Linked DNA regions of Bombyx mori. The protein of the gene in region 1 interacts with the protein of each later gene in a pairwise test. Links are inferred from orthologs where the notes say so. Each region holds a gene or a part of one and is shown in the gene's direction. Other genes may lie near its edges.

The links.
Region 2: the proteins of U3 small nucleolar ribonucleoprotein protein MPP10 (region 1) and U3 small nucleolar ribonucleoprotein protein IMP4 interact in a two-hybrid assay, tested with the Drosophila melanogaster proteins (2 studies listed by BioGRID). The link is inferred for Bombyx mori from reciprocal best matches to the Drosophila melanogaster genes CG13097 and CG11920.

The regions. Positions count from the first base shown.
Region 1 is NC_085133.1:363,265-379,507, reverse strand, and holds U3 small nucleolar ribonucleoprotein protein MPP10, read left to right. Parts: upstream 1-7,650; 5' UTR 7,651-7,813; coding exon 7,814-9,532; 3' UTR 9,533-9,551; downstream 9,552-16,243. Other genes in the region: Or (nuclear orphan receptor), read right to left, coding at 96-201, 740-864, 1,927-2,076, 3,878-4,001.
Region 2 is NC_085132.1:2,073,703-2,090,326, reverse strand, and holds U3 small nucleolar ribonucleoprotein protein IMP4, read left to right. Parts: upstream 1-8,262; 5' UTR 8,263-8,546; coding exon 8,547-8,733; intron 8,734-8,894; coding exon 8,895-9,057; intron 9,058-9,165; coding exon 9,166-9,298; intron 9,299-9,478; coding exon 9,479-9,617; intron 9,618-9,856; coding exon 9,857-9,978; intron 9,979-10,281; coding exon 10,282-10,467; 3' UTR 10,468-10,483; downstream 10,484-16,624. Other genes in the region: NADPH-dependent diflavin oxidoreductase 1, read left to right, coding at 4,978-5,362, 6,018-6,298, 7,075-7,255, 10,741-10,961, 13,231-13,509, 14,284-14,510, 15,316-15,538.

The DNA.
Region 1 (16,243 bases):
GCCAAGAGTGCATATGACTAAGAAATATCAGAACTTTAAAAATATTAGTGGGTGGTAGGTGGGTAGGTAGGCAGCCCGGGGTGGTGAGGGCGCACCTGAGTTCTTGTTGAAGGCGACGGCGGCGGCCAGGGCGAAGTTGATGGCGGGCGCGGGGGACACGGCGCCGAACGCCTCGCCCGCCTCCTCCTTGGGGGTCAGCTGCTGGAACCCACAACAGCTGGTTACAGCCACGCACGCAGCTCCGCGGGGCACATCCGCTTGCCCATAGTCGCAAGAGCTTGAGGTCGGATACAATCTTAATAAAATTCAACTGAACATGTTTGAATGACTACTTGTATGAAGGTGTATGAATTCAGCTCTGAAGCCACGGCTGTCATAGAACTAAACAAATCCCACAAAAACTAGATTCGAACGACATTTTCAGTAGATTTGTGGTTTTTTTTGCACTTGTGGGCATACGGCCCACCACAAATGCCAAGCGAGGAGCCTCGCGAACGGTAGTGGGTACTCCCTCCCAGGGTGCAATGCTCGTTGTACCGTTGACGAGCGCTAGGACCCACTCCATCAGGTGAGCTCTGTATTTATTGGTAATGGCGCAAAAAATGAAAGACCAAATTATCACGCATCTTTCATACGACTGTAAGTGGTCGCTACCACTCATGTGCACCGCTCCGAGGGGCGGGTCGCTCCCAGTTCGACAGAGACTCAGTGGGAAGCGACGGCTCGTTGCCATGGTTACCTGTGCGCTGGGAGCCTGGCCCGCGAGTCCCAGCAGCTTGGAGTAGGCGGCCTGCCGGTCGGCCAGCCCGTCCCGCGGCTCCGACTTGTTCTTGTCGACGATCGGCTTCCGTTCGTGCTGGACCGCTGTCGCAAACAGTGCAAGAATTACTGCTCCACATTATTATTGTACCATTTCAATTTAACGGCCGTCTGGTGTAGTGGTAAGTGACATGGTCACTACACAAGGGGGTCGCGGCTTCGAATCCCGCCAAGGGAAGATATTTGTATGATCAATATAAATGTCTCTTCCAGGGTTATGGATGTATATTAAATATATGTATGTGTATAATAAAAATCTTACATTTATTTCCATTATCTGGTACCTGTAACAAAAGTTCTTTACGAACTTAGCACGGGACTAGTTAACGTGGTATGATTGTTAGTAAATATTTATTTATGATTATTTATTTATAATTATTTATTGGCCTGACAAGAATTTCCGAAGCAGCCAGAAGCAGTGTTTGATTTTCACGTCCTCAGAAGAAGGCTCTGAAGGACTTGGCTCTGCCTCTTGCATTACTGAAGCCCATGAGCGACGGTAACCACTCACCTTCAGGTGGGCCGTATGTTCCACTGCCTACAAGGGCAATAAAAAAAAGAAGAACCTTTTTAGAGCGTTTTTTTCCTACCTAATCACTAATAGCCAAAATGCCTATTCCAGCTAGGCTCGGACGAGTTAGTGAGCTCAAGGGCTCGACCTGACCGAATTGCTAACACTAGGCCTAACAGGAGCAGCGCTATCAGAATCCCGACCAACGGAGAAAATGCGGCGAGAAAGTCAGTGGGTTCTGTCTGTGTGAGTCCAGAGCCTGGTGATACTTTTTTCGGTTTTTATAGCTTCAGTGGATGCCGGGAGCCGTGCTTCGAAGTCTCAATTGTAACGCCCATTGATTGTCCCACTCCTGACGCTGGAAGTTACGACTCACGGCAGAAACAGACAGGACAGTGATCCGATGCACTAACATCTGATGCATTTAGCTGTAAGTTGATGGTAGTGAATTTTGATTTTTCAATATAGAAGGTAACAACATTCTTTAGAGATGTTTTGTGTGTAGAGTCCATGGTTCAATTACCAGGTAGACTTGTGTACTAATAATAACAAATATTGCTAAGAACTAAATAATAATAATAAAGAGAACAACTCACAGTCGCTCCTCATCCCGCAAGCAAGACACTTTTGCAGCCTGCAGTACTGGCACCGGTTCCGGTGATGCTTGGTCACTTCACAGTTCATAGTACCTCGACACTGGTACCCGAGCTTCTTTCTGATTGAACGCTTGAAAAAGCCTTTACAGCCTGAAAAATACAATAAGTGGAAAGTTTAACACATGAACCAAATCCAGGCTAAAGATGTATTTGAAACATAAATGAACCCATTTGGCCAAATATCTATGCTAAAACTGAAGAGTTTGTTTGTTTGAACATGCTAATCTCAGGTATTACTGTTTCGAATTGAAATAATATTAGTGTTGGATAGCCCATTTATCGAGCAAGGCTATGACATCACATTATGACCAATAGCATCAATGGAAAATATTTCAAAAACGGTTTTTATTCCTTTTCCGTAATGAAAATAAAACCTAACACCCTCCACTCCGCCTACCATGTAGCTCGCGTTCAACACATTCACACGTTGCGCTTGTGTAGTGTTTGTGAATAAGTGCGCGCGTCATGAAAAGTCTGCCCATCTCTCTCTCTCTCACGGTCTAGCTTATAAGTGTGAAGAGGACAGTTAATGTTTTGCTTTTGTTAATGTGTATAAATATAGCGTGGTCTTATTTTATTATTGTTGTAATGTTAAATTATTGTTGTGTAATTATAATTGCATAAGTTGATAAAAAATGCAATTCAATAGCTTTACCGCGGCAGTCCCCGAGTGTCACACGTGTTTTTTTTTTAAGTTGGCATACTTAAACTTTTCTAATGATAAATTGTTCTAAAATAATGCAATGCGAAGGCGTTTTTATAAAATTAAACAATTCCCAGCGGCAAACATTTCAGTACGTTGGAAAAGTCTTAACCCTTTGACTGTCATGCGGTTCACCTATGTCCTTTGTGGCGCTCTGAAGGAATCACGTCGATTTCTGTTCTATTATGTTTCACGAATACCTGCGTTTTATCTTTTAACGCTTTCACTACACCAAGCTTTGCTACAAAGTGTTTCGCAGGAAACGGAGCTCTATGCTGAAAGAACATACATCACCCGTCGTGTATAGGCGGTGTCTTTCAGTCGGTGACTATAATCATAGATAGTAGCGAAAGGGTTAAAAGATCAGAAGGGAAAAGGTAACAGCGGTAGGCAGCGGCTTGGCTCTGCCCCTGGCATTGCTGACGTCTATGGGCGAAGGTAACTACTCACCATCAGGTGGGCCGTATGCTCGTCTGCCTACAAGGGCAATAAAAATAAAATAACATTACTGAGTTACTGAGTGTTCCTTAATTAGTCTTACAGTTCCACTCTTGCTGTTCATAGCATGATGTTCAGCAGATAGTGTATTTTATGCTCTTGGTAACTTTGCATTTATCTATATTATGGAATCCTTGGACAAGATTTTCACAGAAAAGTATTGGCTTGAATAGAAACTTCGCACACTTATCAAGGACCAATGAAAAATGTGCTACTATGCTGATCAGTGTGCTTGAGTGTGCTTGTGAGTTGGAACGGCCTCCCGATGTTTGCCGCTAGGGGCGCTGTTTCAACTCCATACAAATTTGAGTTAACTTTTAGTCGATCGAGAAATTAAAAAACTCACACTAAGCACACAGGATCTTCATGATTAACAACATTACTTTTACCAATATCTGTCAATAACATTTACAACAAGTGACATCTAGCACCTGTTTTTTATTTCAGCTAGCCATAAAAGCGTGTTTTCTTTAGGTTTATCAACTTTTTTATTTACTTCATATATTTGATTGAGCCCATAGTTACCGGAGCCCATATACATGCAACTAAATTACATGAGTTAGTCTCAATTCTATTCTATCATTCATCTGACCAAGACAGGTATGATAGAAGATAGCATTACTAGCTACTATTCTATACCAAGGAGAATCACGCAAGGCAATTTTAAAATATCATAAATAAAGATTGTACCTTCACAACTAATAGCACCATAATGTCTTCCAGATGCTCGGTCTCCACAAACTATACAGAGCTCTAGTCCACCTACATCACTCCCACTGCTGAACTTCATTTCCAGCTGATCTTGACCATCCATCTATTTAATAAAATTAACAATTTGTTCAACAACGTATGTACCTCCGTACAACGTATGTACCTCCTGTGCACCAGAACCATTCATCAGATTGGGGTAAAATTTGCTATAGTTGTTTTTGGTTTCCAGGAAAAGTTTCTGTCACAGTAGCATCAAGATATGACAGGCGACATGCAAGTACTTTCAAGCAATTAATGTTCTTTAAACAATTAGCTATAGTCACAGCAAAGTGTTTCAGTTTTACCAATATTATAAATGTTTGTGAAGATGTTTGGATACTCAGTCAAACATACATCAATGAGCAGATTTAGATGAAAATTGGCACATAGATAGTCCATTTCCTGTAATAACACATAAGATACTTCGTATCCCGGTAATGTGTTCCCTTGGGATAATAATCCATCTTTAATATTTTATTTCAACAAAAGTCTAGTTCTGAACTTCATCAATCAATAAATCCCAGTAATTTGTTCCCGAGGTATAATAGTTTCATCTTAATGATAATTTAACTGGGATGTAATTTGGGAGAATTATTTGGATTTTATTACATAATTTAGAATTGACGTTTTGTTTTGTCTAAAATTATGAATGTGAAGAAATTATCAGAAAATATTTGCATGTTTTTTAATAAATCCAGCATAATCTGCTAAATGGATTTTGATAAAATATATCTTAAGAAAGTTAATGTATATGTGGGCAGAGCTGCAAGCAGAACCTAACTGATACATTTTTTTACATGTTATTTCTTCAATATGTTCAGATCTAATAGCCTTGCAGTATTTACTCATGAGGGCATTTTTAGTCAAGAGAAAGTATTTAATTTATTTTTATTTACTTAATATATGTTTAGAAGATATATTTAATTCAGTTAATGCACCAAATTAAGTGATGACCAAGTTACCGCTTGAGCCCTTTTAGGTGTGCAAAAATGGGTATATTGACCAGAATTGAGATTATATTATCAGCTAAGAATTCTTACACTGTATTCTACTTAATTTTCTAATTACTTGACACCTGACTATAGATGGTGATATACAAGAACAACCAAATATTCCTGTTCATGTAACTAAAATTCACTTTTTATATCAAGCAAACCAAAATATAATCCTATGCAAAACCTTAACATCCAGGTCAAAAATTTTTTAAGTCCCATATTTACATATCTGTAAACTAATCAAAGTATAAAAGACAACATAAAATAAAAAAAAAAAAATTCCTTGTGTAGTATCAGTAAGTATAACTTAATGGTGGATAATGCTAAAAGCATATATGTTAAGCATAATAATATGTTATTATACAATACAAAGCATTAGTATATGTTAAATTTTTCAGAATGATTTATTTCCTGAAATTTACTGCATTTCAGCTAATATTACCTCCTATTTTTAGTCATATAGACCATTTGTAAGCAAATACTTTTCATTAGTTTGTAAAAAAGAACACACGTATGAATTTTGTGTGTGGGTTAACATGTAAAATAATAAGAGATTACCCTTTTTATAAGACTAAAAAGTATAATTACGAGTTAAATACGTGGGCATCACGAAGATGGACGTATAGAAACAGCGGGCACTCAAGTGAAAAATAACAGGCTTAAACAATATACAGTTAAGCACATTACTTACGTTTTATCTGGTGATATTAAGGTAGCCTACGAAGACAAACTCAAATGAAATTAAAAATCAAAACCAAATTATAATTAATGAATATTTTATTATTTACTTTAACTTTCACAAATAAAAAAATAAAAAGGGCACACATCAAAACAATAAAATATAAATGTCAAAAGTTAAAACTTTTTTTAAGGGATTTTATGACCTGGTAACTAAGACTTTTAAGTCATATCTTATTTAAATTTATATTCTTATTTTTATGAAAAATGAAGATGATTAATTTGAGACATTAATTAACTGGGATGAAATTAAATGAGATGAGATGAGGTGATATGGGATGAAATACAATCTCAGTAAAATTGTGGTCGTTTACTAAGATTTTTTCAATGGACTTTTTGGAGGATACTGGGAAGCTACGTCCAGCAGCTTTGTTTCATTTTCCCACATTTGTGCACTTTTACAGATATTAAACAGTTAAAAAACCACCGTTATTACACATTTAAACCTGAAGAAACACCAAACAGACAAAATAAAACAATTCACACAACTTCACTCCTCGCGTTCCCGTCAAAAAGTCCATGTCAAAACTTAAAGCAACGTCGCCATAGAATAAACAAAACACCTCACAATTAGGGGTGAGGCGTATTTATCGGAACAGTCAAACGGAACAGGTTTTCTTTTCATAGGTTCGTCTATGAAAAGACTTGGAACTGTTGTCTATAGACCGAAACAACTGATCCAACTGTTCAAACTGTTCCAGCTGTTCCACAATATTCCATATGTTGCGTTGTTCCGTTCCACAGCAAACAGCCAGAAACGAAACTGTTTGGAACAAGCTCTTTTTTCTTTTCCCGTATAGAAATAGAAAAAGATGGCATATACATCATGTTCCCAAACTGTTTGTATCATGCTCTTTTCTCCTTTCACTTATTGTAATAGAAAAAAAAATAGCAATAACATTAACATGCATGCATATTCCCCTTTGGTATTAGTAAATACATTCGGATACACGCATAAATTATTATATACAATAATAAATGTACTCTGTTATATTATATATCATTTAAAATATGGTATTATTTGTAATGTCTTGCTTAAAATTTGAAGATAATATACTTTTAAAATGATTAATAGACAGTTGTTATTATGGTGGTAAAAATATTTAATTGAGTTAAAAGGCCTAGCATGTATCCGAACGCTTACTAAGTCCAAACTTCTGAACTTGTCTATTCTGTTTTAGGTCTGGCATGCTTATATGGGCTATATGTTTTAATTTAAATACATTTTGGCAAAACTAGTTTCACATATTATTAATATTAATAAACCAAGTTGTCAGTCCTAAGCCTGAGAAAGCATGAAGGATTATTTACATTTAAAAAAATGTATTGAAACCATTCCATATGTGTGACTGTTCCTTTATGTGGAATATATTCTACTTTATTTATATATTTAGTGTTTAGATGGGTGGATGGGCTCACAGCCCACCTGGTGTTAAATGGTTACTGGAGCCCATAGACATCTTGATATAAAGGTTCTAAGGTCTCAGGTACAACGGCTGCTCCACCCTTCAAACATTATTAAGCCTGTTGTAACACAACAAGCTGTTATATTGGAACAGGCTACTGGAACTGTTCTTTCAATGGAACAGGAACAGGTGGAACAGGTCTCTGATTTCATCTGTTACAGACCATCCCTACTTACATTACCATAAACTTTATTTTTTGTTGGTTGTATTGGTCCCATGGATACCAAGAGGTATAAAATATACATTGGCCCTTTTAAAACTATAGATGTGCACCATTTACTATGAACAGAACATTCTGATTTGTAATAACATTTTAGATCAAATTATTTTTTGGCGAGCATGCGAGCAATGAATTAATTATTGTAAGGTCATCACCCTCTTTACATTTTTAATGCCATATTTGATTCCAAGATTATATTTTTGCCGTGACAGATTTCTTTTAAATAGCCTATGTTTTCTTGGCCTTTCAATGGACGAATGAAAAAATACAAAAATGTCAAATAGACCAATGTGTCATTTAGTTGCCAATGCTACCATTAGATCAAACGTCAAAATAATGCACCGCGTGTGTTTTTTGGTTTTGCAGCGATTTGTTTTCTTTGGTAGTTTCAGTAATTCCGTATCTTAAATTTTACATGACACATTAAAGATAAAATTATCATATTTATTACAGTAAAATGGCTTGCATAGATTTGGAAGGTATACTTAATAAATTCAACAGTTACACTGATAAACCAGTAAAATTTTTGTCTGTGCAAAAAGAGTTGAAAGAGGACCTAAAAAGGTTTGTAAAATCGGTATACGATTACACGAAATCTCAGGAGAAGAGCGATAAGAAGAAGAAGAGTGGGGCCTTAAAGGAATTAATTGTGGAAGATTTTGATGAGGAGCAGATATGGCAACAGATAGAGCTGCAGAACTCCCAACGCTGGGACCAGATAGTGTGGGAGGTGGCCAACTCTATGAGCGCAAATAACGAATTAGTATTTCCCATAAAAGTTGCTAAAGAAAAACCCAAGGAGATCTTACCTCATGGTGTTGAACCTATGGTAGAAGATGATGGAGAAAAAGTATCTGAGAATATTGAACTTGAGCATGGCAGATCTCAACGAGTTCAAAGTGATGTACCAAAAAAGAAAACCAGGCCTTCGCAGGTGGATGACAAGTTTTTCAAACTTTCCGAAATGGAAGAGTTTTTATTGAAAGAAGAAAAAAAACAAACAAATAGAACCAAAGGTGATCGTGACAGTGATGAGGAGTCTATAGATTTCTTCGAAGATGACAATGAGGAGGAGGAAGATGAAAATGTCATGTATAATGACTTTTTTGATCAAGATGGTGCTGAAGATGGGGACTATGATATGGACCAGGAAATAGATGATTCAGTTGAAGATGAAGAAGAGGAGGTTACAGAGCAGTCAAATAAAAAAAAGCAAGTCCGATTCTCACAACCATCTATTGATGATTCAGATGACAATTCAGTTGATAGTAACAAAAATAATAAAGTAAATAGTAAAACAATTGAAGAAAAACAGTCTGAGTTTGAGCAACGCCAGCAAAGACTAAAACAACACATTCAACGACTAGAGGAAAAGACTTTGAAAGAAGCCTCTTGGCAACTCAAAGGTGAAGTGGATGCATCGAAACGTCCTCAAAACTCACTTCTTCAAGAAGTTGTGGATTTTGATTTAACAACACGTCCAGCTCCAATTATAACTGAACAGACCACAGTTTCTTTAGAAGACATAATTAAACGTAGAATCAAAGATAAAGCTTGGGATGATGTTGTTAAAAAAGAAAAGCCAGTTGATGACCAACTGGCATTCCGAAAGAAGGAAATTCTAGATCATTCAAAGAGCAAGCTAAGCTTAGCTCAAGTCTATGAGGCGGAGTACTTAAAACAGAAACAGGCAGCATCAGGAGAGATTGTAGAAGAAAAAGAACCAGAAGCACATAAAGAAATTCGAGAAGCCATGTCACAGTTATTCTCAAAATTAGATGCACTGAGTCATTATCACTACACACCGAAAGCTGTACAGCCTGAAGTGACAATTGTATCAAATACTCCAGCAATATCGATGGAGGAGGTGGCTCCAGTAGCTACCAGTGATGCAGCGCTATTGGCTCCCGAAGAAATTAAGAGAAAACAGAAAGGAGATCTTATTAGCAAAGAAGAGAGAACAAAGACAGACAAAAATAGAGAAAGAAGGAAAAAGAAGAAATTGCAGAAGAAAAAAGGACAGGTTACAAAAGTAACAGACAGCAGGAATACTACAAAGAGTGTAGAAGTCAGTGACAAATCAGTGAAGACTTCAAAAGCATTCTTTGAGCAGTTAAATGATAACACCAAGAGCTTGATTAAGAAAAATAAATTAATTAAGAATAAGGGACAATAAAATATTTTTGGCTTGTCAATTTTTTGTATTTGTTGGAACATACCATGGGTATTTATGAGGAATTAGAGCTACTATGTTTTATTCATTGCCATTGCAGGCAGGCAGTGGTAAAATATCACTTTAATCATGGATATCAGCAACAGCCTGCAGTCTACTTTTTTTATGTAACAGGAATACAGGAATACAATACAGGTTGCAGAGAAATAATGAAAGGGTCTGATATATATATATAATGCTGCTAATGATAGTGATTATTAACTTTACCATGATTAGTGGTGCTAGGGAAAATTAAGAACCCTGGGTGTTGATAGGTTTGAGGCATTAGGTACTATCATCTTGTCTATTTCTGCTGATAAAATATATTTTATGCTGTCATTTTTAGGGCTCATCCTGTTTTATATCTTATATATCATTGTAATGAAATACGTACTCAACAAATGTTCATGATTGACTTCCACGCTGAAGGAATAACATTGTGTAATAAAAATGAAACCCGCAAAATTATAATTTGCGTAATTACGGGTGGTAGGACTTCTTGTGAGTCCGCGCGAGTGGGTACCACCGCCCTGCCTATTTCTGCCGTGAAGCAGTAATGCGTTTCGGTTTGAAGGGTGGGGCAGCCATTGTAACTATACTGAGACCTTAAAACTTATATCTCAAGGTGGATGGCGCATTTACGTTGTAGATGTCTATGGGCTCCAGTAACCACTTAACATCAGGTGGGCTGTAAGCTCGTCCAACCATCTAAGCAATAAATAAAAAAAGGTTTAAAAAACCAATCACTTGAAATTGGAACGGCTTAGAACGGCAGGCTACATGTGACTAGGAGATGTATATATAGATGTATGATGTAATAAATAAAAAAAGAGGAAGAGGTCGATCGAAGAAGACACACATGGAGTGTGTGAATGACGAGATAAGAGAGAGAGTAGTCAGTGTTGAGATGACGGCTGATAGAAGAGAATGAAATAGAAAAAAATTGTGTGCCGACCCAACCTAGTGGGATAAGGTGAGACAAAGAAGAGAAGAGATTTTTAGTTTTTAGTTTTTAGATAAGTCATTCTAATCACGAATCTCTCCTTAACATTTAAAATACTTGTCTGGCAAGAGGTTGGAACTATCAAAAATGTCTAGCTAATGACGAAATGTCATCTACTTATTACCCAAGTATTGTATATAAAAATCAGCTTTTATACTATTACGTAGGTACGTACAATTATAATTTCATGAACATTAAAGGTGTCTGGCAAGGGGTTGCCACAATGTTGTGTCTGGTAATGAATAACGTGATTTTTAATAATATTCTGAAGCTAATACCAAAAAATCGCACTTTATTATTTGATCAATTTAGAACTGATCGATTTTCATTCTGATCTAATTCAAATTCAGACAGGAAAACGATACTAAAGGTGTGTAAACTCAGTATTTTACACACTTTTATTACCGTTTTCCTGCCAAAGCCACGATTACCCAAACTTCATAATGGTTCATCGTTCTTACCCGTGTTGGGAGGATGCGCTGACAAGCTTTCATAAAATAACGAAGGTTCGCGGGCTCTTGCTCTATTTGCCCTTGTAGCTTAGAGACCGTCCGTGTTATGCCGTATGAAGCGTTGTCGTATAGGAGCATCGGTGACGAGCGATTAACCAAGTCCGGTCGGAGATTCGCGACCTTCTCCTCCATCATAGTGTCCTCACGGTTCCTCACAGTACTCACCTGAAGTAACGCTGGTGAAGAAGAAGTGCTGGTGTGCTGTGATTAATTATACCGGCATTAGACCACCAAACAGTGACCTTGACTTCTTAGGGGTACCTAAGTTTTCGTTTAGGTCTTTATTTAGGTGCTGAACCAGTGTCTTACTAACATTATGACAACATTTGATTATTATTACGCGCTGGCGTTCGGGATAAATAAAAATTCTACTGAATCACAAGTTTACACTATATTCAACACTTAAAACACTTCACAAACACTTTAAAATTCTCAATTCACTTCTTTCGCTTCGCTTCAGGAGATCCGTCCGCTGTTTCGCTTCGAGTAGTTCCGATTACTGACTGACTGCGTGCCATCCCTGCAACGCTTTTATAGCTGATACCACATCCCTAGAATTATCGAGAATATTTCACATATCTCTAGTATTGTGTTTCCGCTATCTGACAATAGATGGCGTTGTACTTCTCGAGCGTTCTCGGTGCTACTATATTCTTCAATATTCGTTCGACTATTCGGCGATAGATGGCGTTATTCTTGCCGGCGTAACATCAAAAAACATCAATTTTTCATCGCAGGTGACAATGCTGTTTAAAATCCATTCGTTGCTGTGTTTGTTAAGCGACGCAAGACATTTTTTTTTTCGGCAGGGGGCCGAGCCTCCTACGAGGTGTCCGCGCCTAGGAGACACGGTCTGCACAGTCTGACGGTCTGCACTTATTGGGAGCAGACCGCGGACATAAGGAAAATTTTATGGCCCTGCCGCACCAAACCACTCTTCTTGTAAGCTTTCATCCGCCGTAGAGTTGAGGGATTGTGATATTATACCATCAAATAGATGATATTTTTCAAACAGGAAAATAAAAAAGGTTTTCCACCTTTTCGCCATTGTTTTTCTATTGTATGCAGTGTCAAAAAGAATAGCACCAAATCGGTTCAACCGTATTTGAATCAGAGAATTTTGATGTTACAGACGAAACGCGATTTTGCTAACGTGTTAGGGGTAATGTAGATTGACATCTTTAAAAAAACTCAGTTGAAATGGAACATTCGTAGTTAGGATGTAGCTGATGAGATAGGGGCTACCTAATCTCAAAAAAGTTTTGCTCCATTTGAAAAGACTAGATTTTCAAAAACGCTTGATATTTTAGAAGCACACCAGCTCACTGAAAGAAACTTAATGAATCGTGTATTCATTTGCCATTATCTATTAAAATCTAATTTTTTTTTCCTACCTAAACTGATCGCCTTGGGAGGCTATTTCAGCGTAACCTTAACTAGTAGGTGAGCTCACGGGGCTTAAACCTGACGACGTTGCTAACACGAACCCTAGCAAGAGCCGTGCTTCGCAGAATCTACCACCCGATCGGAAACACGACCCACTGAGAAGATCCGGCGAGAAACTCAGTGGGCTGTGTCTGAGGGTTAATTTACTCGTCGAGCCCTTCGTCGCTAGCGACGGGTTCGACGAGAATGATGACCGGTGCTTGAGGTACCTAAAAGCACCGTCAGTGGGTCGGGCGGATCCGAAATGACGTGTTTTGGGCAACGTCGACTGCTTTCCATTCTGTCTGCAGGATCGGGAATGATAAAATCTAATAAAACCGAGTTTAAAAAGATAGTTCAGTGGTAATGCAAAGTGGATCACCTACCAGGAGTGGATTTGATCAGAGAGATTGTGGTTTTTCATCATGATACCGTCAAATTACACACATATTTAGCCTACTGAGTTTTACGCCTGATCTTCTCAGTGGATCGCGATTCAGTGATAGATTCTGTGAAGCGTTGTTCTTGCTAGGGCTAGTGTTAGCAAATTCTCGCAGGTTGAGCCCGTGAGCTCACCTACGCGTCCGGACGCAGCTGGAATAGCCCCTTAGGCTAGGCTAAATATGTAGTATAGGCCCCTAAAATACATATTTAGTCACCCAGCAAATTTAGAAAGTGCTAGGTTGAGAAGTGCTAATAATACATTACCCATATACTTTTATCTGTTTCGGTTTCTTCAAAACTTTTAGGTTGTGTTAAGTTAATATCAGGCTGGCGAAATCAAATGTACGTAGTGATTGAAGTGCTTCATTCAAAATTTCCAAAATTCCTATAGTAATAGGATTAGTGCCTAAGTTTTTTGTAAATCTTTTTTTTTCTTATTTAGGCGAGATATGATAATAGGACTTTTTATAGGCATTTTAACTTATCTTAATTTTGATAACATAAAACGCTTTGATGCTGGTTATCTATGCCAAATCAAATGTATTTTTAGTCCAAGTTAGCAGCCGAGTACCTAGACACCACAAACTGGCTCTGAGCTGAACGGTCGCTGTTACGACACCGCTTGTAATTACGAACGAAAAACGTTACGATATGGCGCGCGACGAATCCAACCGAACAACGAAGCACGAAAAATAGGATATGCCTTTATATTTTTTAGGTTACAGGACACTTTTTTTTTTTGGTCAAGAGGAAATCGCCCGACTCCCGCCCTCCGTCCCCAGTGGAGGGCGGGGCATGTCAGAGTCGAACTGACTAAAACCTCCTGTCGCTCAACAACCAACACCCAAACCTCGCATGAGACAGAACTCATGAAAAGGCAAAGGGGGGAAAGTGAAGCGTTTAGTGCGGAGCACATCTCTCCCGTCCCCCTCGGGACGCCGGACCGGCGGTCAGGTTACAGGACACTTGGTGTAAAGCGGATATTGGATGCCAGTTGCATCGCCACCTGGAAGTCGTCTTTAGGGAAATTGCAATATACATATTATGTATATTGGCCTATAACTAACGTGACCTTTTTTTTTCGTGTCAAAGCGCCTCCGGTATTTCGTATATAAATAAATACATATATAAGGTACGTCGGGCTAAGATGTAATATTTTTTTTTACTTTTAATGTTAATGCACTGTCGATTGCACCTATAATTGAGGTGACATCTGCCATGAACTTTTGTCAATTTGTTAATGTTTTGTATTGATGATCACTTTGTTGGTGCAACTTAATAAATAAATAAATAAATAAAAGCAAAAGATATGGTTTAAAAATGACTTGAATTAATTTATTATGGTATCTTACCCTCACTGACATCTTAATTCTTATAGCAACTTACCATTAAAGCAATATTTATAAAAAGAATCGTAACAAAAAAAAAACTATAATACTTTTCTACAGCAAAATTAGAGTTACTTTACTATGTATTTTGTAATACAATAAGGATTTGGGATAAGTAAGTATTCGGTAAGTTTCTAATAAACACATGCACAACAGATAAATGAAAGCGGGACATTTTTGTTCTCGTCGGGGACAGCGGGACGGACACTCTGAAACCGGGACAATCCCGCCCAAAGCGGGACGTGTGGTAACGTTACCTATAACCTAACGGCTAGCGCATTGACCTCGACTATTATTTCAATCTTGTGGTAGGTATCACATTTTGATGCTGATGTTTAGGTTAAGTTACACGTGGAACTCTTTGCCGAATCCGACGAGTGCGGTTACCGGGGCCCCAGGGCTGCTCCTAGTGTTGGAGCTGAAGGCGTCTAGTGTTGAGGTTAATGGATCTGATGGATCCGTAAGGATGTATGTTGCACATCTATGCTAGTTGAATAAGTCTGTGAACAGGAGAAAGTCCGCTTTGGAAACGGGAGCAAAGATCCCTTAAGTCCACTGAGACCCATGTCCGGAAATCTGGTTTTCATTTCGGTTTTTTCTTTCTTCTCAATAGACGTAATACCTATAAGATAATTCATGTAATAATGGGAAATTTGTTGGGTTTATCTATTTAGTTAAAAAAAACTGTGTTTGTCCGTTATGCCACCCTAAATGGTATATCTGTTTATTATGATGCTTCCTAAAGTTGTTGCTGACACTCTAAGGAAGGTTAAATTTTATTAACGGATGATAGGTGGCGCGCGAGTAACAAATGAGTGAAATTATTAATAGTTAAAATGGGTTTCACTGGTTCAAGGTAAATATGAAAATTAATCAACGTTGGCAACAATCACAATATTTTTTTAGAGCGAACCATAAATTCGTCACATGTCAATGACCCCTTTTCATATTGAACGCGTCATAGATTTGAGGAACAATTAACAAGGCTAATTTGTACGATTACTCATATTACAGAATACAATGGCGTATCGAAGTCGTATATGATAATATGGTTTTGTTGTTGAATTTCTCGATTTTCGGTCGCAAAAAAACTGGTTCAATTTAACGGCCAGCTGCCTGGTGCTGAGTGGTCACCGGAGATAGAAGCAGCCTCATTGACGACACGAGATTGACGTCTCAAATTAGATTCTATAAATTATAATTACTGTCCTTTCAAACCTGATAGATAGGACCGTGGTGTGTACTTGTGCCAGCTCACAAAACACCCTAACTGCATATCACATGTTTTTATCATGACAAATGTCATGATTTATAATATTATAATAAATGTTATCAAAATGTTATATTACAATGTTTCTTCTAGCTTTCTACCAATTGTTGAAACCTATTAGACTTAATCTTATTATGGAGCAGTATCGTTAGATATAGATTGAAAAATCGTGGCGTATAAGACTTTGGGTATGTGTGTCTGGGATCTCATGGACCTCTCGTCGAATAAAATTGCCCATTCTCAATGACAACTAGCCTGTACACAACCTATTATCAGCGCCTAATTAACTACATGGAGAGGTTTTGTGCAACGGGTCATGAGAGTCATCCAACTAGAGAAGACAATTAGAATGATGTCGATTCAGAAGGTATCATCAGGGAGTGGTTACGCCTTTCGTCTAATTATTAAAAAAAAACACGTGTGGCACTCGGGGACTGCCGCGGTAAAGCTATTGCATAGCATTTTTTATCAACTTATGCAATTATACTTAGACAATAATAATTTAATATTAAAACAATAATAAAATAAGACCACGCTATATTTATAAAAATTAACAAAAGCAAAACATTAACTGTCCTCTTCACACTTATAAGCTAGATCGCGCGAGAAAGAGATGGGCAGACTTTTTATGAT
Region 2 (16,624 bases), on another chromosome or scaffold:
CGGCTTTGGAATGAGCTCCCCTCCACGGTGTTTCCCGAGCGCTATGACATGTCCTTCTTCAAGCGGGGCTTGTGGAGAGTATTAAAGAGTAGGCAGCGACTTGGCTCTGCCCCTGGCATTGCTGACGTCCATGACAGTAACCACTCACCATCAGGTGGGCCGTAAGTTTATCTGCCTATACGGCAATTAAAAAAATTTTGACCTACAAATTAATTTTCATTCATATTCAATGTTGTTACATATTTTCAACTACCTATTCTAAATGTAAGACACCTTTCAAACTTGAACTAAATACCTAAATATAACTTTCACTAATTCATTACGTAACAACCGGGTAGATCAGATAATTTTCGTTCTGTGTTCGGAGCGTCTTAGACATTCTAGTTTTTTAGATATCCAAGGTCACATTTCTTAATACATTTATATACAAATGACCCGTTAGCATTTAATCTTTTGTAATGAGATGGTATTTAATATGTTTGAACTTAGGTACTGTTAATGTTAACGTTAAATAAAAAAACATTTTTGTATGTATATATTATATATATATATATATATATATATATTGTTTTGTATCTTGTAATATGTATATATTATTATTATTACTGTATGCACTAGGTTTGTGTCCCTAATTCATCTTTCCTTTTGCGGGCCTACTGGAAGAGATTTCAACATGAAATAAGTAGTGCCTTTGTACTCTGTATCCTTATTGGCGTGTATTTTTTTTCTAACAGCTGTGTGTACAAAATGTATTAAATAAAAAATAAATAAATAAATAAATAAATAAAATAATAAACGGGAAAATTGTGACACTAAAAAAAATTTAAAGAATTCTATGTAGGTAAATTGATTCTGTGATAATAAATTTGATCGTATACAATAAACGCAATATATGTTTGGTTTTTTTTTCTTTTTTCAAAAAAAGGCGCGTAATATGTTTAGTTTTTTTTTTATAATTAATGCATTTCAGATAACCGATACTTTTTTCCTGTTACCTTTTTCTTTTTTTTTCCTATAACTTTTGAATATAGTTTATAGAGTTTGACTTAAATTAAAAATAAATTAATTATTTCAATAAAAAATATATTCGGACATGTATTGATTATTGAGTATACTTACTTCAATATTGTAGACGAAATACTACGATGCAAATCTAAAACAGTAACGAAGTAGGTACTTTGCACACAACAAATTGAATCGCAACAATTGATTGTTTTAGAAAGTCAACGCGAATGTAATTTAGATATATCTTTATATCAAGGTCGCTTGTTTTCTAGACCGTAATTGTTGTAAGCCTAATAGGTTTGTTCCAATGGACACTGTTCCGTGAGTTATTACGATATTAAAGTGGAAATTGCCTAAATTTTGCGATTTATCAGCTTCAAATATCAATTGGTTTTTTTTTTATTGCCCCTGTAGGCAGACGAGCATGCGGCCCACCTGATGCTGAGTGGTTACCGTCGCCCATGGACTTCAGCAATGCCAGGGGCAGAGCCAAGCCGCTGCCTACCACTTAATACTCTCCACAAGCCTCGTTTGAAGAAGGACATATCATAGCGCTCGGGAAACACCGTGGAGGGGAGTTCATTCCATAGCCGGGTGGTATGTGGCAAAAAAGTCCTCTGGAAACGCACTGAGGATGACCGCAGTGGCTCTAGGTAATATGGATGAACTCTACTCCGGTGGCGGGCGGTGCGATGGTAAAAACGAGCACTCCCCATGGGACATACGGTACAAAATACAAAGGGAACCGAAGTCCCTCCGCAGACCCAGAGCTTCCAAAATCTAGCCAGCCAGCAACTTTTGGCTAGCTTTTGTTGAACTTTTCATTTTTCTGTACCTTCAAAGCCATTATGTACGGCAAAATTGAAAATTAAAATAAAAAAAGAAAAAGTCTTTCTTCACAATCTTTAATTTTAACTAAGCGTCTTCACAGATTTTTATTTATAACCGATGAAGAACAGAATACTTAATTAAAAGCACTGATACGCAAGATTAAGCCATAGCAGTGTTTCTGTGACCCGGGAAACCCTCAGAAGTATCAAGATTATGGTAGATTAAGTAGTTACTCATTCTACTCTAAATCGTTGATTATTTATTTTCAAATTAAATTCAATATGTAATTTTATAAAGTTCGATACTTAAAATAATTATTATTACACCAAAAATATAATCATTTGAAAACTGAGGTCAAAGGTAAAAGACATTTCAGACGCAAGGGTCGTGTGGAGTGGGGGTAAATCGATGAAGCCACGTGCTCTGCTGACGTAACATCTCTAGATATATTGCGTTTAACGGCCAAATTTGGCGGGAAAATACTTTAGATAATATTAGAAAACCAAAATTTGTATTTAGATCCCTCAGAATTTCAAGGCATTTCTATAAATTCAATCAAAGAAATCAGGTAAGTTTTTGGCGGAGTCCGTAAAATTATGCAGCGCTTTTGACATGCTTTTAGTGATGTCCATGAATAACGTTAACTATTTGCATTTAAGTGGACAATAGGCTAATTTATCTATGAAGTTAAAAAAGGATCTGAATAGGACGGTACTCATCTACATTTTTCCTTAATCTAAATCCAATTTTTAAAAATTTCAACTCTCGATATTCTGCTAATCCTATAGGATGATTGTAATGAAAACATAATATTCTTTCGTATGATAAATAGAAATATGTTATTACCAATAGAAATATGATATATGTTATTGTCCGAATTTTTCAAATAATAATCATCATACGAATTACGATAAGCTCGATTCTAAACGTACTGAAGATATTAATAAACTCGCTAATAAATATCATTCCATGTGTTTAAATTTCCTTAATGGTACTCATATTATTTTTCAACTAAATAAACTCTTTCCTTGCATAAATTGACACATTCGGATCATTTTATAATTCAAATTTAACAATCAGTAGCTTAAACGTTTTAAACTGAATATTAAAATTATTAAATACATTTTTGTCCCAACAGCTTTCAATATGTATGTTCCATGAATTTACGAAATAATTATTAGGAATTACGTGTGTACACCGCCCGGTCTACTGACAGCGTTTTATTGATAATCCACGTTTATTCTTTAGAAAATTATATTGATTAATATAACAATATAACATAATATAACAAAGCGTCTACCAATTTTCATTAAATGACATTACTTTTAATTATCTATAATGTTTTATTTAATAAATGTGCAATTTAAAATTGTAAATCCAAATTAAAAGGATAAAATACTCACATTTCGTAGAGTCGAAAAACACTACACTGCCTATTTAATTTTATATAAATATTTTCCCGCTCTTTTCTTGAGGAGCGAGTGTGCACTGAAACACAGGCCGCGAGACTGCCGCGCGCCGGATGTGAGCAAGATGGGAAATCACATCGGTAATAGGAATGACAAAGAAGATTGCCGTATTGAACGGGGTGGAACTAGGGTTGTCTACTGCACGATCAAAATTCGAGACCTATGTAATACAAGACGTAAACTGGACTATCTAAAAGCAATTTTTTTATCAATTTGTTTGCGGCTATTAATTACTCGACTTTTTAGGATATCTTTATTATTTTATGTGCTTTTAATAAAATCGTGCAAGTTTTTTGAAGCTTCCTTGGTGTTTTAGAAGAATCGGAAGAGAAAAGTCCTTTACTTTTGTTCAACTAAATGTTGCTGTTGTTCTTTATTCATTTAGAAAATTTATTTGTTTCGTATCCAGGATGCGCCTAAAGTGAAGGCCATACCGAAAACCAGTAATAAGCCAAGTCAAGACAGTCATTATAAGCATTTCACTCTAAAGAAACTTTACAAAATTCAAGAGCCATTTGGGGCTTAGTTTAACAGCTACAATTTTCAATATTTTCAATGATAGATGTAGTGTAACATCAACGCCATCCATAATAAATAAAATTTGTTTTCTGAAATAAAAAAAATCAGGCAATTTATTCAAGGCTTTGATTTAATAACAATCGACAAGAATATCGACCTTTTTTTTAACGCCGGGGAGTTCGTTTAAGGTTGGGTATCTGGTAGAGTGGGGTAACAATCAAGCTCTATTACTCCAGTTCGACGAAACCTAATAGTCCTAAAACTACATAGGTAGTGCGCGCCAATAGTTCGCCTTCACCTGTATTCGTCCTGTTAAATGATAGGAATATCGACCTACAAAACATTAAAGACCCACTCCACTCTATATTCCTTAATTTTTTGACTTAGCCTCATCATCATCATCATCATTCTCCTGCCCTTCTCCCAGTCACCTAGGGTCGGCGCAACATTTTTTCTCCTTCCATACTCCTCTATCGTCTTTCACGCAATCCATCCATTTCTTCTTAGGTCTACCTCTTCCTCTATATCCTTCCACATTCATAGTTAACATTCTCTTACCAACCTCATTTTCATTTTGTCTCATCACATGTCCATACCATTCCAAACGCGCACTTCTCAGCTGTACTCTGCTGCATGCAATTGCCTTTCATCCGCCATTTTAGTGGTCCAACAAGCTGATCTATACAAGACGGCAGGTCTTATTAAGGTCTTATATATCTTGCCTTTTAGGGGAAATTCTTTGACTTAGCCTATCAACACAAATTTATATTCACGAACTCTCGTCAATGCCTCACCAAAAGGCCGCACCAACAATGCCGCACCAAAAGGTCTTATAAAGCGTTTAAATAAAGACTACTGCCAATACATTAAGAATTTTCGGAAAGTGTTTGTATTATTTCCGTTTAATGTAGATGTAGAGAGCACTATAATACTAAATGCATGCGCAAATTGGATTTTGTGGTATTCACCCCGATTAGGGTTTTTGCCAGAATGATAACAAAACGTTTGACAACTAAACGCCAAAATAAAATCTGCCAAACGAATAAGAATTTGACATTTTTACTATTTTGACAATGGAGTAAACCGCTCAGAACTATCGTTTCCATAAAGTTCTTTAAAGTTTTCTCATTAATTTCAATTTCATTAATAAATTATGTGTCAAATAGGCAGACTGACGGTGCTGTACGGTAGTCAAACATTCACGGCTCAAGAAATAGCCGAAAGAATATGGCGTACGACAAAAGCTTTGGGTTTTCGCGGGCCCGTTCAAGCGATGAACGAGTATCCCATTTCTATGCTGATTCATGAAGAATTTGCGATATTTGTGTGCGCTACGACGGGTCAAGGCGATGAACCGGATAATATGAAGAAATTCTGGAAGTTTCTGTTGAGGAAAAATCTACCGGCGAATTCGTTAATTAAATTGAAATTTGGAGTGTTGGGCTTAGGAGATTCTTCATATTCAGAGTTCAATTTTGTCGCTAAGAAGCTTCACAAGCGCCTCATTCAATTAGGAGCCAGACCATTAATAGATGTTGGTAAGTACTTAAAATATAAGCCGTTTTAACTTCTGAATCAAACTTTATTTTTTATTAAGTAAGATGAATATTATTCATTTGCGTTTTTTTTTTTAAAATAAAAAAGATAAAATAATTTTACACATAAAAACAATGAACTGAACGAAAAAAACAAAATTAAACATTGTGATGGCATATTATTAAACTCTAATCTGTAACTGCATGAACATTGTAACAAAAAATATCCTTACTCAACTACTTTACTGGTGGTAGGACCTGTTGTGAGTCCGCGCGGGTAGGTACCACCACCCTGCCTATTTCTGCTGTGAAGCAGTAATGCGTTTCGGTTTGAAGGGTGGGGCAGCCGTTGTAACTATACTGAGACCTTACAACTTATATCTCAAGGTGGGTGGCGCATTTACGTTGTAGATGTCTATGGGCTCCAGTAACCATTTAACACCAGGTGGGCTGTGAGCTCGTCCAATCATCTAAGCAATATAAAAAAAAAAAAAAAAAACTTAAGCAAATATGTTCTTTGGTACTGCAAACACATAAGACAAGGGAAAATATCCCTAGACTTCGAATAGCAAATATTCTTAGCAAAGTTATTGATACTGACCAGATGATTACGTAGAACCCCTTGAACATAATAATAAAGTATTTACAACATTTGTAGGTTTATGTGACTACCAACATGACCTGGGCCACGATGGTGTAGTTTCCCCATGGATCAAAGAATACTTTGTACGACTCAAAGAATATTTTCCGAGTATACAGACAGATGTAAAATCAGAATTCATTCCTCGTTGGAAGGTCTCTATGTTGAAGGACAAAGCTGATGTTAAAAGTGGATTTTGTGAAGATATATATTTTGGTCACGAAAACAGCAATAACCAAGAAGCTTTGTTGTTGGAGGTGGATAGTAATGTTAGAACTACGGATGAATCTCATTTTCAGGTACTTCATTATTCAATGTTATGAAAAGTGCCTTTTCTTGTAGACCTATAAGTGTTTTTAAAAACTTCAATGGAGGGAGAGATACTTATTTAAAGGGTGAAACATATTGACTAGCTAATGTGATTCTGTGATCCTTAGAAGAGCTATAAACTCTTTCAATAAAATCCTTATCTATGACAATTTAAGTTACTTAGAAATAGAAACCAATAGAATTAAAGTATCATATATAATGTAATCATGACTGAATCTTTACAAAGTGATATTTGATCTTCTTATCAATGACTCAAAATTTTGTGTGCCAAATTGATAAGTTTTACACTACTCTTAACAAGGTTATAAAATGTTGTAAATTTTTATTTATGATTATTTTAGTCATTTAGTTTGTTTTGACATGATTGTTATTATTTGCCTTTTTTTCGACAAGACTGGTCTCAAGATAGTGCTTGTACCCTAATATTAGGTGGTTATTAGAATCCATAGACAGGATAAGTGAATGCTATTGCCCTACAAGGTGAAGAAAGGATTTGCTTCAATTTCGTTCTTATAGCATAACCGTTGAAACTGGAATGGGTGGTTCCATGAAAGACATGAGCCTAATGGCAGCATCCACTTGTGTGGGCTTGGACCTAATAAATAATTAGACCAATTTATCAGTAACTAAGTGTTTTTGTTACTCATATTAAATAATAAGCATTGTTACTCGTTAACCCATCTAAGAAACAAAAAAAAAAGTAAAATTGTGATTACATATAAATAATATAGATCTATTTTTTTAGGATGTAAGACTAATATCATTCAAATCTGTTAGTAAATGCTTAACCTACAAACCTGGTGATGTTTTCAATATAAGACCTCGGAACTCAAAGGAGGACATTGATGACCTATTTAACATACTTGAAAGTAACAATATTGATATTAAGCCCCATTATAGATTACTAGTTGAAGAATATCATGATGGTAAGCATTTTTATCTGAAATAAAAGATTACAATTAAACATGTTAAAACATTGATTTAAATTGAGTAAAATAATCTTATTATGTGTTGTGCTCTGGCAGTCAGAACATTTAATAATTGCTTATATTTAATTGTCCACCATTAATTGATCTTTATGTATAAATACTTCTATAGAAGGGAGTAGAAATAAGGAGCACCATCTCAGTGTATGAAAAAGTGTCCACTGAAAGAGAGTTAATTAAGGTGGCACCATAGTGGCAAGTGGAAGGATTTTAGAAAGAGCACTCTATACTACCCCACTTCACTTTAATCCAGCACACTTCACTCTGTTTTAAGTCTGCTATATTCATATCTCTTCCATTTCCTACACTAGCACTATTTTGGTGAGTCTTCCAACAATAACTTGTTGTATACAGGTGGACACTTTTTCAACTTGTCCCCTTACAAGATGCTTTTCCTATAGAATAGTTGTGGCTGGATAGTATGTTTTTAAATGTCAATAATATGTATCACAATATTTCATTCTGGTAGCTTATTCTATATCTTACGACATTATGAGAGAAAATTATCGAGATTATTGATGCATGAAAGCAAATTTGAGATGAGTATCAATAAATAAACAGCCAGCAATTAAAAAAGAGAGTCAAATAAATTGTTTTGAACTTAAAAGTGCCGTCCGCACGTCTCATAAAAATGCATCCACTTTGCGGCGGCGCGCTAATTCGGATTACTTGGGTAGTCGCCGGCCGTTCTTCGCATATCGAGAAATTATAATTTGTTAGTGTTACTAATCTCATCAGTTCATTAGTTCTTATACGTTCTCAACCCTATTCCCTTACTTTCTTGAAATTTCGGAGATATGCTCATGACACCACTGTGGTTTCCCCGGACAAAATTTTTAAAGGAAAACTAATCCTCAATGTACATTCAAATGTTTTTTTTTTTGGGATTTTATGTCCTGGTACCTTTAACATAAAAATAAAATAAATATAAAATAAATTATAGATAAAAAAAAACTGCAGACAATTAATTCGTGGCCGGTTTGTTCCAAACAAAACATCTTAAGGTCTATTCATTTGTGTTGCAAGTTATTTTAACTTGTAATAAAATTCTATTACATAGCAAAAACGAAACGCCAAATGTCAATCACAAAAAACAACACGTGCGTAAACGTCAGTTGTCAATTGTCACCCGCGTTTTTTGTAGCTTTTTACAAACAAACATTTGAAACATTAAATTTATACAAAAGTAAAATTAGTTATCGAATTCAACTATAGTAACGACAAACCAAAAATGCTGCGACGACAGGCGCGATTACGCCGCGAGTATTTATACCGGAAATCGGCTGAAGAAAAACAAAAAAGTATACAAGCTAAAAAAGATCAGATCAAACGTAGTCTTGAAGAGAATATACCTATACATGGTGATTTACGGAAGGATGCCATCGCCTTACAGAAGAGAATTGAATATGAAGATAAAGGTAAGTAAAGTATTGAAAATTTCACATCAAAACTTGTGTGTCCTAACCTCAAATTGCAAATAAAAGGCGAATTTCCTTAATTAAGTTTGTGGTAAAATCTCCAAATTTGGAGAATAGAATCGGCAATACTGAATAAATTTAGCATGTATTTCAATCTTTAGGACCGGAAAGAGTGGCGGTAATCGGAGGATTCAGTGGTGGGGCAAACACACTCAATTCACAGGATGATGAATACAGATATGCAGGTGTCGAGGATCCGAAGATCATGATTACCACATCAAGAGAGCCTAGTGCTAGGCTCAAGATGTTTGTAAAAGAACTGAGGTGAGATTTTTACAGAATTATTGAAAAGCATGGAACAACTGTTTTTCAGCCAATTATTTTTGGTTTGTGCCTATTGATTAAATTTATAGCTTAAATACAATGTTTTAGGTTAATATTTCCGAACAGTCAGCGTATGAACAGAGGTGGTTATGAGATGTCACAATTGATTCATGCCTGTCGAGCCAATGATGTAACAGATTTCATAGTTGTACACGAGCATCGAGGAGTTCCAGACAGTTTGGTGAGCTTAGATTATGTTTTAGGTGGAATGAATTTGGAAAACAGTAAAAATTAAAAAAATATATATTGTAATAATAATAACACAACATTTAGCACAAACAATGTAATTTTTTTAAATAAATTATGCAAATTAATTTAATAGCATAATTTGACAGATCGTTACTTTTTTCTTTGTTTTAAGGTAATATGCCACCTCCCATATGGTCCAACAGCATCCTTCACATTATCGGGTGTTGTGATGAGACATGATATACCTGATATAGGACCAATGAGTGAACAGTATCCACATCTCATATTCCATAACTTTAAGAGTAATCTTGGTGAGTTAGAAACATCTATATTAATTTTTTTTAGGTATGTTGTAAACCCACAAAGTTTCATACCACTGTTTATTTCAATCTTGAAGTCTAGAATCTTGTTTTGTCTGAAATATAATTAACAAAAAATATTAATTTAAAACTCCATGCAATAATTTAAACTTACCCATTAGAAACATTAAATTATTATTTCTTTATTCTCCTATCAGCTTGAATAAATCTATTTTTAATACTTATTCCAGGTTTACGTACAATGAGTATATTAAAGTACCTGTTTCCTGTACCAAAACCCGATTCAAAGAGAGTTATATCATTTGCGAACCATGATGATTACATATGCTTCAGGCAACATACATATAAAAAGGTATTCAGCATTAGTTATAATTATAATTTTTTGACATGTTGATCTCAAGACTTGTCTTAAATCACATTTTCTCTTTTTCTTTGTTATTTATTTTTGGATTGAAAAAAGTCTATTTTCAAATGTTTTTTATGAAAAACAGTTGATTTACAGAAAATAGTTTTGGCTTTGACTGTTTTGACTTTATATATATATTACATAGGTATTAGTGACATGCGGTTACATTAGGTATTAGAGCATGCTTATTTTATAACAACTTGTAATATAAAAAAATAACAATACATATATGTATATCATGATTTCCAGGCAGGCAAGGATATTGAATTAACAGAAGTGGGTCCACGTTTCCAAATGAGGTTATATGAGATCAAGCTCGGCACCCTGGAATCCCTGACGGCCGCCGACACCGAGTGGGCGCTCCGCCCCTACATGAATACGGCTGCCAAGAGACGCTTCCTCAGTGATGATGATGGATGGCAACAAGATGAATAAATATTTTGATATATAATGAAGTTTTTTTACTTTAAAAAACATGTCCTGTATTTTTATAAGACAAGAATGACACTAATTTTGAAGGAAACATTAATCGGCTCTATTTTAATATCACTTTGTATCATCTTGAAATTTACATGGTCCTATCAGTATTGGGCATTCACAATCAGAGTTAATTTTGAAGTCTTTACTTATAAACCCACAAAGGTGATCGCTTAAAATCTGATGAGAGATGAGCTTGTTGAATTATCAGTCTTACTAATATCCTTCCAGATATGCCTGTGCCTGAGTTCCTATGTCACCCCTTGACTTTATACGAAGTGGCCGAACAGTATTGGGACCTGCGATGCTACGCCACTCAGTATGTTTTCTCCATTCTGGCACTTGTGTCCCAGGACAAGTTAGAGAGGGACAAATGTATAGAGCTCAGTTCCCCAGAGGGTCAGGAGGACTGGCTGAATTATTGTAGGAGAACGAAGAGAACCGTTATAGAAGTGAGAATTTAAATGATATATTTTAAATATTCGCACGCAATGGGACGTGTCCCACGTGAAGTGTTCAGGTTTTTTAATTGTCTAGACGAGTGACGAGAGGGTTCATCTGATTTTAAAAGATTATTTGAACCCTTATAATAACGAAAATACATCCACCCAGCCAGAGATGTGAGTCTAGCTGATATACAGTGGTCACCGGTGCTTTTTTTTTTTTTTTTTTTTCCTACCTATGCTGATAGCCTTGAGAGGCTATTTCAGCGTACCCTAGCTTGTGTAGGTGAGCTCGCGGGGCTCAAACCGGAGAATTGCTAACACCGCCCTAGCAAGAGCAGTGCTTCGCAGAATCTACCACCGGATCGGAAACGCGACCCACTGAGAAGATCCGGCGAGAAACTCAGTGGGCTGTGTCTGTGGGTTAATTCGCTCGTCGAGCCCTTCGTCGCAAGCGACGGGTTCGGCGAGGACGGTGACCGGTGCTTGTATTGCCTAAAAGCACCGTTAATGGATCAGGAGGATCCGTGATGACGTGCTTTGGGCGACGTCGACGGTTTACCAAACGGTCTACAGGATCGGGTATGTAGTTTCCGGCGGCCACGACAAGAGGGTTCTCATGTCGTGCCGCCTTCTCAAAGTGGCGCAGCGATGCCGACTGTAGATACTTACTGACGGGGTCGAGCTCCAGGTCATCGTGGAGGTCCACGTTCCTCTGGAACCATGGTGCTCCGACGGCTATCCTGCAGAATCGGGATTGTATAACCTGAAGGGGTTTCAAGTTGGTGCGGGCCGCGTGAGCGAACTACGCTTGCATACGTCATGACGGGGCGTATGCAAGTTTTGTAGAGGGTTACCTTGTTACGGAGGGACAGTTTGCTTCGTCTACAAAGCATTGGGTAGAGTCGACTTTTACGTGGGGACGGAATGTCATCCCTCTGTCGAGGGTGACGCCTAGGTATTTGACCTTCGGGGCCCACGGTATGGGCTGGTCAAAGAGAGTGATGGGGCTAACGGCGGAGGTGTTTACGCGCCTACTGGGGAGTGGGGTGCTCGAAGTGGTATTCGGAGGGCGACCCCTTTTGAATAGCACCGCTGTGCTTTTCGTGGGGTTAATGTCTATTCGCCACTTCCGGAACCACTGTCCCATGGTGGTTACTGCGGTCTGGAGTCGCCGATGAAGCAACGACATCTTCCTACACGAGTAGTAGATAGCCGTGTCATCGGCGAAGAGCGCTAGATGGGTCTCCGGAGACCGGGGTATATCGTTGATATACAAACTAAATAGTAACGGGGAGAGTGCGGAGCCTTGCGGGACTCCGGCAGTCAGATGACGGGGACGAGAACGAGTTCCCTCTACTCGATATCGAAACGAACGGTTCGACAAGAAGTCTCGTATGATGAGCCACCGGTGCTCTTAAGCGCATGAATGTTTGCCTTGGTATATACAGGGTGTTTTGCCAACGTTAGGACATTTCTGAGCTCACTCTAACCGTGTGTGCGTATAGGTTTTTTTTATTGTTTAGATGGGTCGACGAGCTCACAGCCCACCTAGTGTTAAGTGATTTTTAGAGCCCATAGTCATCTACCACGACCACGACGAGACCATCTACAATGTAAATGCGCCACCCACCTTAAGATATAGGTTCTAAGTTCTCAGTATAGTTACAACGGCTGCCCCACCCTTCAAAACAAACCAAACTCAAACACATTATTGCTTCACGGCACAAATAGTTGGGATGGTGGTACCTACCCTTTTTTTTTGTTCGGGCCGGGGCCGAACCACCTACGAGGTCGAGGCGAGGGCGAAGTCCCCGCGCCTAGGGAGCGCGCGGACCCAAGGCAATTTAGGGCCCACTCACTAAACGACTCCCTGCACTCTTCGCCCAAGCGTCCGATCCTCTCCGAGGTTAGAACGCGCATGAGGTAGGGGGGTTACCGCGGTCAACACTACAACCAGACAGCGCAGCTCACCCCAAGGACGCCCGGCCGACGGAGCCTTCGAGGCTGCTCAGAAACGTCGGCCGTCTCGGTACAGCAGCCCGTCAGGCCGCCCAGACGGTGCCGCTGGTGTCCCGGAATACCCCGCTGGACCAAAACCAGCCTGCCGAGTCGGGACGCGATACATCGCCAATCGGTTGCTCTATTATAGATACTCTTTGGCAGCTGCTAAAGTGCAGGTAGCGCGTCGCGCGGCCTCTACCCCCTCAGATCACCCCTTGACCTTCACCGGGGGGTGGTACCTACCCTACCACCAGTAAGTGTCTTGTGCTCGCAGGTGCTGCAGGACTTCCACCGCTCGGCCGCGCGGCTCACCATACAGACGCTGTTCGAGTTGTTCTCGATTATAAAGCCGCGCTCGTTCTCGATAGCGAGCGCGTGCGGCGCGGCGGCGGCGGGGCGCGGCCTGCAGCTGCTGGTGGCGGCGGTCCGGTACCGCACGGCGCTGCGCCGCCCGCGCCTCGGCCTCGCCTCCAACTGGCTCGCGGCGCTGCCCCCCGGTCACAAGGTCTACGGGTGGATCAAAAAGGGGACCTTTGTTTTTCCTGATGATGCGGTGAGTGCTCATTCCCGATCCTGCGGACCGAATGGTAAACAGTCGAGGTCGCCCAAAAAATTTGTATTGGAATTGGAAAGCGTCCTGATTTCCCCCAATCTACTGTACTTTGTCCAGACAGCGCGCCAAAGTACAGTTAAAAAGAAAAGTGCCATAATAAATGGCATAGTAACTGAAGGGCTCAAAATGCCAACGCCTTAGGCTACCCCAGTCGTCGTTCTCATCGAACCCGTCGCTTGCGACGAAGGGCTCGGCGAGTAAATGAACCCATAGACACAATCCACTGAGTTTCTCACCAGTTCATCTTCTCAGTGGGTTGCGTTTCCAACCCGGTGGTAGTTTCTGCGGAGCACTGCTATTGCTAGGGTTCGTGTTAGCAACAACATCAGGTTTGAGCCCCTTGAGCTCACCTACTAGTTCGGTGAATCTAGAATAACCCCTCAAAGTTACTAGAATAGGTAGGGAAAAAAAGGTGAATGCTCATATTATTGTAGGTTTCATTCTTGCTCAGGTTAAAGAGTTCAAGGCCTATTTGATGTAAAGAAGTCACCTGAGCCCATAGGCCACCCATTAAAGTATCAAGATTGTATTGTAAACAGCTGTCCTCAATCAAAAGATTTTTTTTTTAAAATAAATAAGCTAAACTATACAATAAATTAAAAACGACTTCTATAAATAAATAAATTACATTTTAATTTATATTACGAATAACTTATTTAATATATTTTAAATATTTGAAAATTCAGCACTACAATAACTGTTTGTGGCTTTCAGAGCGTGCCTCACATAATGGTGGGGCCAGGCACGGGGCTCGCTCCCTTCAGGAGTTTGCTCCAAGAAAGGGTTCACTACGGCACAGCGTCCAAGGACATCATGCATCTGTTCTTCGGGTGTCGGTACAAAGAGAAGGACTACCACTGCAGGGAAGAGTTGGAGGGGATGGTGGGAGATGGGAACTTGAGTTTGTACTGCGCTTTTTCTAGAGACCAGGAAGATAAGATGTGAGTTGGAGATAATTATATTTGTTCACCACTTCGGTAGTATTGTTGGGAGTGATCGTAGTACTGAGGGTCGTCGGTGTGACAACTCTCAACACACCGGAGCCTAAAATTGTGTTTGACGAACGCGTCTCCCTGTACGCAATGTTATTACAAATAAATGGAGCAATTACTGGAGCACTTTTTATTAATAATGTAATAAGATTTTTGATGGCGACTGTACCGCCCCTATAATCAAGACGAATAAGTACTGTCGAAGCAGAAATAACTACTCAGATACTGGCATCGGCCGTGTGGGCTCGTAATGTGTCTTAGCCACAGTACAGATGGGGGATCGGGTGGTAGGAGAATATAATATCTTATTAGTTATCGACCTCTTTACTGAGGAGTAGGGAAGTCAATGGAGGGACAATGCTACGTGCGACCTCTGGCCAGATACAGGTGTCCCTCTCGGCTTGGGGGCGGCACCGCGTCGCTGTGCACGCTTTGTACCAACACTCTGTCTCTTTTTTTTATTTTTTAGATGGATGGACGAGCTCACAGCCCACCTGGTGTTAAGTGGTTACTGGAGCTCATAGACATCTACAACGTAAATGCGCCACCCACCTTGAGATATCAGTTCTAAGGTCTCAGTATAGTTACAACGGCTGCCCCACCCTTTAAACCGAAACGCATTACTGCTTCACGGCAGAAATAGGCAGGGTGGTGGTACCTACCCGTGCGAACTCATAAGAGGTCCTACCACCAGTAAAAACTCCTCGCGTTTCCGCCAAAAAGTCACCACCAGTAAGAGGTCTCGTTTCCACAGCTACGTCCAGCACAAGATATTCGAGAACCGCGAGACGATCTGGCGACTGCTGAACAACAACGCCCACGTGTTCATATCCGGCAACGCCAAGAGCATGCCGGACAACGTGCGGGAGGCGCTCGCTGACGTCATCCGGGTGTGCTCCGGGACCAGCGCGGCCGCCAGCAGCGACGCCGTGCGCAGCCTGCAGGAGCAAGGTCGACTCCAGGTCGAGACCTGGTGATGCCTGGCACTCCAGATGGGTAGCATCGCGGACTTCACAAGGTTACCAACGACGGATCAAAACTGAACAATTCACTGGATTCTATGTGTTGAGGTAGAGGGAGCCCGTGGTCCGCATATCGAGCGACAGATGGCGTTATAAAAAAATTCGATGGTGAACATTTTCATTTGTCGAGAACGCAGTGTGAATCCATAAACCACGGCGATCGTTCACGGTCAGGCTGGCAGTACTCTCGTCCGACCGACGCGAGTCTTCGCGAGTCGCGACTATTCTGATCGTTGGAGCCGCTGGGGGTCCGGGTTCGATTCACGGTGGGACTGTAAATTTTTTTGTTGTTGTAGATGTAAATTTGTTTAGATGTAACTATTCTTGTAGCGTAGCTGGTGCTAGTGGCGCCGGAGTCATCGAATATTAAATATTAATGTATTTTGACAATAATATTATATTTGAAACCAAAATACTTTAAAACACCTCTTTAGTTGTATAAATGTTTGTATATTTTGCGAATTAGATTTAGATAGTCAATTGCGTCACAAATATCGAGTTACGATAATTTTATTTCTTAGAGATATTACTTTAGTAATAAGTGTTAGCTTAATGATCCAATTTCGACCTATATATATATGACGTTTTCTGTTGTTTTGTTGTTGTTCTTTTAATATTAATATTTCCTATAAAATACCTGTGCTTACCTATGAAGTTGTCATTTCAAAATATTGCCAATTTTCGAACGAATTTTTCTCTTCCATTCTCTTCTATCAGTAGTCATTTCAACACTCACTCTCTCTCTCTCATATCATCATTCACACACTCCATCCATGTCTTCTTCATTCGACCTCTTCCCCCTCTACCTTGCACTACCATTTCCATACATCTCCTATTCACATGTATGAGTTGGGTTATGTATGAGATAAGAAGCTCTCTAATCTCCGGCGCCCGACCTCCTCCGGCCCAACAGCGGCCTCTAAGCTACAAAATCAGACCAGACCAGACTTACGCCGACAGACCTCCACTTTTTCCAGTTTGAGCTTCTCAGCTGAGTAAAAACTCAAAACCCGAAAGATAGTACAAATTGCCTTTGAAATT